Sus scrofa: one gene and its partner. The protein of the gene in region 1 purifies or fractionates together with the protein of each later gene. This does not show direct contact. Links are inferred from orthologs where the notes say so. Each region holds a gene or a part of one and is shown on either strand. Other genes may lie near its edges.

The links.
Region 2: the proteins of PSMC6 (region 1) and PAAF1 purify together in Homo sapiens (affinity purification with western blotting; 3 studies listed by BioGRID and IntAct, with this or other methods). This does not show direct contact. The link is inferred for Sus scrofa from reciprocal best matches to the Homo sapiens genes PSMC6 and PAAF1.

The regions. Positions count from the first base shown.
Region 1 is NC_010443.5:182,327,695-182,331,441, forward strand, and holds the start of PSMC6 (26S protease regulatory subunit 10B), read left to right. Parts: upstream 1-1,375; 5' UTR 1,376-1,473; coding exon 1,474-1,600; intron 1,601-2,630; coding exon 2,631-2,710; intron 2,711-2,805; coding exon 2,806-2,845; intron 2,846-3,091; coding exon 3,092-3,144; intron 3,145-3,747. UniProt on the Homo sapiens protein: Component of the 26S proteasome, a multiprotein complex involved in the ATP-dependent degradation of ubiquitinated proteins.
Region 2 is NC_010451.4:8,279,742-8,283,488, reverse strand, and holds the start of PAAF1 (proteasomal ATPase-associated factor 1), read right to left. Parts: upstream 2,344-3,747; 5' UTR 2,265-2,343; coding exon 2,218-2,264; intron 903-2,217; coding exon 862-902; intron 1-861. UniProt on the Homo sapiens protein: Inhibits proteasome 26S assembly and proteolytic activity by impairing the association of the 19S regulatory complex with the 20S core.

The DNA of each region.
Region 1 (3,747 bases):
TTGTTGGTCTCCTTCCTGTTCCAAGAAATGAGTAAATCTCTTTTTCACTTTAAGGTCTTTGTAGCTGCTGTTTCTTCTGTTTGAAAGGTTTTTTTCTACAGTTTGTTGCTTGGCTGGCCCCTTCTTGCAGATATCTGTCCTAAAGTAGTTCTATCTTTCTCTCATTTTCCTCCACCATGGTTTCTTTTCATTATAATACAGTATTTATTACACTTTGAAATTATTATTTTTTATCTCCTCACCAGATCAAACCCTTAGTAATGCCTCATTCACTGAGTAAATAAATGAATACCCTACTCCTTCTGTATCCTGAAATCCTGTGATTTTGGAGAGACAGCAATGAGTGTTGGCTTGGAGAGAGATCTTATTTTTCTGCTCAGGAATTGAACCTGGGCAGCCTGGATAAAAAACCAGGAATCCTAGCCACTAGACTAGCTAGAGGTGAAAAGTAGAATTGCCCTAACTTTTGCCCCTTGTTGAAAGCAAGAACATTTCAGGGAGGCAAAGACTGTGAAAATAGGTATAAAGTTTATTGTTAGAGTCACAGTACAACATATGGGAAAGCACACAAAGAAGCAGTTTAAGTCAGAAGCAGAGAAGTAATACACACCCCAAAGAGGAGTGCGGGTGCAGGCGTCCCCTGAGTGAGGGGCACACCAGAGAGGTGATTTAAATCACTTATATAGCACAATTCTTCTGGATCTTTCTTTACCTTTGGCTAATTATCTTATTTATTTCTCACACCTGACTGGACACAGGACCCTTCCCAGTATATGTGCGTACCTTTTGGTAAAGATGGATTCCAAAGCAAAGTGTGCTAAGCAGGTATCAGGACTTATTATGGCCTGGTGCCTCCTCCTTTTCTGACCCCCTAGGAATCTTACTGTGCATGTGTAATTGGGGAGGTCTTCTTTACCCCAGGAGTGATTAAAGTGGTCATCTTATCTTTCTACTCCAGTAGAGCTCTGCTCCTGCAATTAACTTTTTCCTTGAAGTGCCAAAAAGAAACAAGGCCCAATTTGCTTGACCTAAGAAGTCCCAGCTGTTCTCAGCCCAGGGGCCCATCTACCTCTTACTTCACCTGGATATTATTGTTCTTTACCAAGAAGCTATCCTTGTTTTACTGAGAAGCCAGTAGAGCTATATATATTAGAGAGATATGTATATTCTCTATTTCACTTCCATCTCAGTTTACTACAGCCTTTTGTGGTTCCAAGAGGGCAGTGACTCAAGCATATCAAGGCTTCTCAGATACACCAGATCAGGGCCTTGCTTTACCCAAGCGGACCAGCAGGGGACAGTGTGGCCGGAGGCCTCCTTTAACTCACTGCGGAGCCCTAGTGAAGGAGGCATAGAAGTTCCGGAAGAGGAGTGCAGAGGCGGGCCAACCGGAAGGGGCGGGGTCGCCCGCAAACCCGCCCTTCCAGGGAGGCTGTTCTCCCTCGCCCCGCCCCTTCCCCCGCCCAGGCGGCCATGGCCATTCCCGACATCCCCTATGAGCGACGGCTTCTCATCATGGCGGACCCTAGAGATAAGGCGCTTCAGGACTACCGCAAGAAGCTGCTGGAGCACAAGGAGATCGATGGCCGTCTCAAGGAGTGTGAGTGCACCTTTCTTTCCATATAATCTCGTGTCTGAACTCGCTTCTGTCTATGACAAAGCAGAGGCCTTTGGCCGAGCTCGGCAGCCGAGCACCGGGAATGAGAAGGCCTCGGTCTGGGGACAAGGCGCTTTGTCATCCCTCCCTGTGCTTGAAAAGCGGAGCCTCTTCGGGCGTAGAAATGGCCCAGACTGGTCCAGGTGACAGAGAGAACACCCCCAGTTCTGAGATGGAAGTGTAGATGACCAGAGGAGGAGTGGGGAAGAAGTGGGTCAGGGATGTTTCCCAGTTTGAGGTAAGGAGTGCAGTGTTGTTGGAGTCCTGGGACCCGGAGCGGGGAAAAGAGTTAAGCAAACCAAAGCAAGAGATGAAACTCGGGAAGTTGGCTCGTTAGCGGAGTGGAAAGCCCAACACAGAGCTTTAGAGAGAAGGGATCCATCGGTCAATAATAGCCCTCCTCTTCTTTCGTCGTGTTTTGAGTAGTACTCTACATGGTACACAAAGTTCCCTTTCTTCCTGAACTGAAAAGATTGTTAGGATTTTTTCTTAGTGTACCGTCAGTGAAAAGCCTGAGTGATTTAATTAAATGGGGGAAGACCATAACCATATAATTTTGTGGAGCGCCGCACCTGTGGACTTCATATGGGTTAGAAAACCAGAGAGTAACAATCCGTGTGGGTAAGTGGAGAAGTGAGGAAGGCTCTAACTCTTTTATCATTCGAATTTGTGATCTCAAATTGAAAGTGTCAGAATGTCAATATCTGTTAAAAGTGTAACCTAAAATGTGCTCAAAGTAAGTATTTACGACCAAGAAAAGAAAAATGTGGTAATTTCTCTGCAACATTTCGTTTTTAAACATGTCATCTGCAAACGGTATTGTGCGTGTGTGTGTGTGTGTGTGTGGTTCGATAGAGTGGATATGAAATATATGTAAAGTGAAATAGACTTGAATTTAAGTAAAGTGAGACCTAGTGACAAACACACTGGCTAGGATTATTTAATTTAAAATATTCAAATTATATTATTTCAGTAAGGGAACAATTAAAAGAACTTACCAAGCAGTATGAAAAGTCTGAAAATGATCTGAAGGCCCTACAAAGTGTCGGACAGGTAGGTAATGGAGCTTGGGATGAGAGGGTGATGGTAATTTGCTTTGCTTTTTTAGTTCTTGGCAAAAAGTAATGCTTTTTTTTTTTTCTTTTTAGATTGTGGGTGAAGTACTTAAGCAATTAACTGAAGAAAAATGTAAGTGTATTAGATTGTTAATTGGTAAAGAAAAAAAGAGTAGACTCTCCTCCCACCACCATCTTTTGAAATGCTTATTATTTTTATAACTGTAATGAGGTAGATAACATTCTTGCATAGACTAAATTTTCTTTCAATTATTGTCCTTTGGCGAACAGAGATAAAACTCAACCTTCCATCAGTGTAGGTATATTCATTTTTTTTACTTTGTAGTTTTCAATTTGTTTTTTAATTTTCTTTCTCTAGTCATTGTTAAAGCTACAAATGGACCAAGATATGTTGTGGGTTGTCGTCGACAGGTAACAATTTATTTGTATAGTGCTTTATAACTGACAAAGCACTTTCCTCTAAGTTATTTAATTCTTAAGGTAAGCAAGTCAGGCATTATGCTCATAACTCCCAAAGGTAACTTGTTTAGACATATGTAATTGTTAGCAAAGCCTGAACTATGGATTTGACTCCTGGTAGTTTCTACTTTCTACTGAATTGCATTGCCTCACTAAGTTCTACACACTAAGAAATCAAAGAATTTTAGAACTGAAAAAATACCTCAGATTGTTTCTCTCTTTCTTTTTTTTTTTTTTTGGTCTTTTTTTAGAGCCACACCCATGGCATATGGAGGTTCCCAGGTTAGGGGTCAAATCAGATCTGTAGCCACTGGCCTACACACAGCCACAGCAACGCCAGATCCCAGCTGTGTCTGCTACCTACACTACAGCTCATGGCAACGCTGGATCCTTAACCCACTGAGCAAGGCCAGGGATCAAACCTGCGTCCTTATGGATACTAGTTGGGTTCGTTACCACTGAGCCACAATGGGAACTCCTCAGATTGTTTTAATGTTGACATGAAAGTATTAGACCTTATAAGTAATATTTTATATTTAAATATAAAAAATGTTA
Region 2 (3,747 bases), on another chromosome or scaffold:
TGCTGTACAGCAGAAATTGGCACAACACTGTAAATTAACCATAATTTTAAAAAACCTCTATTTCTCATTGAAATAGACTATATGATTATATAAAGACATCAAGAGTCTCTGAAATGAAAAATAATCAGTGAAACGAAACTTTCTCACAAATTAGAAGGAAAAAAAATTGTAATGTTACCACAGTGACTGCAAACCAATGGATGGAAATAAGACAGAAATGTCACTGAGATGAACAATAACATCGCTTGGGCACTGGCTGTGGCAGGGTGAAATGACCAGGTTTTTTACTCTGATCCCAGAATGGTGGTAACCTAAGAACTGTGAAAATCTACTGACACAACGCTGTAAGCAAGCCAACTATACTCTAATTAAAAAAACAAAAACAAAAAACCTGAGAAAATCAAGAACGAGAACCTGTTTGACAACAGAAGTGCTCAGCTTTCAGGATTTGGATTTGATAACCTAAAGACGATTATGAGAGCTTTAAGCAGAAACATTTAGCAGACAACTACTTAATCTCTCGAATTTGAAGAGAGGTCAGAACTAGAGCTATAGATCTAGGAATCATGAGCAGGGAAGGGCATAACTGAAGCTATATAAATGTTTAGAGTACAATAAAAGAGTCTCATTAAATGCATCGACAATGCCTCCATGAACAAGTCTTGCCTTCCAAATTGAAAACCAATCTGAAGGCCTTCCCCTAGAATGGAGTTGGAATGACACCAGTACAACACAGAATGAAGAACATTTGAAGACTCAGCACTGTGCAAGGAGTCTGGGCCAGGAGAAAGTAGGAAGCTCTCTTTCAGAGGTAGTAAATCCTTTCTCTAAAGGGAAGTCATACAGATTTAAAGACATTACCTGGGGGGTGACAGCTCAGCCAGGCCTCCCCTTCATCCTTCCTATGAAGAGAGATAAAAATCTACTTAGGCTCATTCAGTGTCAAAAAGGATGCTACTGATGCAGGTGAGAAAGACTGCATAATTTCTAGTTTGGCCACAGTACTCAGACATGATCTAATCTAACATCTCATCTAGGCATAGACAAACTTTGTTTACTTGAAGAAATATCTGCAGATTAAGTGTTTAATGCATAGATTTGTTGACTCAATGAAGCTCAAATATTTCATTAAATATTTGATGAAATGCTTATTAGCTGCAGAATCTTGGGCAAGTTACTTCCTGATTCTGGACTGTGTTCTCTCAAAGGCACTTGGTGGTCCTCAATAAATGTCATTGTTCTTCCTATTACACATCCTGTGTTACAGTAACATGTTTTTATTTCAGCCCACCTAGTAAGCTGTAAGTTTCTTAAACACAGGAGACTATGTTTTATTAATCTTCACAACTGTTTCAATTTGAAAAACTTATTAGTAATAATATTTGCCTGAGTTTCTACTGTGGCCTGGTGGGTTAAAAAAATCCAGTGTTGCTGCAGCAGCACAGTTTACAGCTACTACAGCTAGGATTCAACCCCTGGCCAGGGAACTTCAATATGCAGCAGGGGCAGCTATTTAAAAAAAAAAAAAAAGCACCATTCATGACACTGCTGTACTCACTCTGGTGCCCACCATAACTTACACAGTATATGACCAATAAATATATGTTAAGTGAATAAATGGTTTGCTGTGCGTTTCCAATTAAGCTGTTAGCTGCTGCTACTTTTTTTTAAGCTGTTAGCTTCTTGAGAGCAGGAACCACCCCTTAAGTTTAGAGAACACATCTGAACTCCACCGAATATTTATCTAGGTCAGAACCTAGACAAGGTAGGCATTACACTGTTTCCTCAATGGAATTGTAAAACATGACTACTAAGGGCCAAGGAGAATGCAAGGATTCCATCACACACTCAAAGTTATTGTGGTGGTGGTGAGTATACTCGGACTTTTGCAAATAGCTGAGGACCAATAAATATTTGCTAAATGACCATGACTACTTGCAAAGAGTCTTCCTGCCTCCTGTTTTCCTGTCTTTTTCTAACTCACTGATCCTATTCTGCCTCTGGGATCACACGGAGCATATGAGTTTCCTTGGCCTCAGCACGGCTCTTCTGAGAATGAAAACCTGACCATGAGGGTCTGAAACATATTTCTAGGCCTCAACAACCGATAAACTAACTCCTATGGATATCCTGGATCGGGCATGGCTCTCGATAACGCAGAGGTAACATCCACTACCCGCCTCGCCTCCTCCGTCCCAGTCCTGGACTTGGAGTCACCTGAGGGCTTGAGCCCAGTCGCTCTGAATCCTCAAAGGCGCCGCCATCTTGACCCCGCCTCCACCAGCCCGCCTCTTCCGCTCTACCCCGGAAGTGGGTGCCCCCGAAGGCGACGCGTGCAGAACGAAGGGCGGGATCTACACCAAGAGGCCACCAATGAAATGTGGCGGGGGGGGGGTCCTCTTCCCCTCCCTACCCCTTTGCAGGCGCGTGCATCTCACAGTAGGCTTGTTCCTGACGGGAGGGTCGGAAGAGTTCCAATTGCCTGCAAAATTGACGCCGTTGTGCAGGAGGGCGCGCTTGGGTCCTCTAGTTGGCCTGTTGGGTGAGCACTGTGTTCCAAGTCCTAGCGCGGTGAAGCATAGCGGGCGCAATCGGGATGTGCCCGGCGGCTGCGCGCGCGCATGCGTACGCTCTGTAGTGGGGAGAGGACTTTAAGTAACTTTGCCGCCTGGATTTCTCTGCTTTTCCATTCTTTCCATGCCTTCCTAGTCCACGCTGGCCTCCGCGAACGAGCTGCCGACCATCGAGCCTTCCCTAAGCAAAAGTCTTTCTCTTTTTAATCCAGTAAAGACTGAAGCCGGGTCGTGGTGGGGAAAGAAAAGGCAGCATTTATTTGAGTCCTGTTGTAGTCTAAGCACATATCACTTATTAGCATATTAATCCGTACAGTAACTCTGCGAGTTAAATACTACCTTAGAAGGACACTTTAAAAGATTACATGCTAATGCGTGTGCATAGCAAGGCGAGGTGCCTGTATTCAAACCTGGATTTCTTGGCTTAGGATCCAAGGCACTGTTCTTCCTACCGTACTTGTTCTAAGAGGTTTGCCTCTTGCCTTTAAAGAGCTCACAGTGTTTTTAGGAAGAGGAAACATGTATAGTAATAGGAGCTATCATTTACTGAACTCTTTGGATGTGCCAGACTCCTTACATGCATTATCTCGTTTAGTCTTGATCCTGTGAGGTAGATATCTTTTTTTCAAGAGAGATTATGAAGTAATTTGCTCAAAGACACTCAATGAGTCAGTGACAAGGCTGTTTCCAGTCCAAGTCTGTTTTCGAAGCCCATTTTCCCCTCTCCCTTAGGTTATACTGCCTCCAAAGCAAATGTGTTTTGTGTAGGGCTATAGAGTGCTTAAATCCTTCTTGTGACTTCTCACTTGCTCTCTGAACACCCTAACATGATTCACAAGGCCTTGCCGTGATCAGATACTTTCTCATCTCACCAGTTTCATTAATTTTCCTGTACTCACTTTTCTCTCATCATGTAGAACTTTCAGTTCCTCTCATGTCAAATTCTGTCTCAGAACCCCCATCGTTTTCTTCCATTGACCAGGAATATCCTTTATATCTCTGGCCAACTCCTATTTATCCTTCAAGTCTCAATTTAGAAATCACTTTCTCCAGGAAGCCTTCAGGTGTCTAGTCCTGCTCTTGTCTGGCTTAGGTATTCCTCTGCTCTGTTCCCCATCTTCGCTTTTTGTACACACTGTACACAAGTAAATAACCTATTTACTTGTCTAGCTTG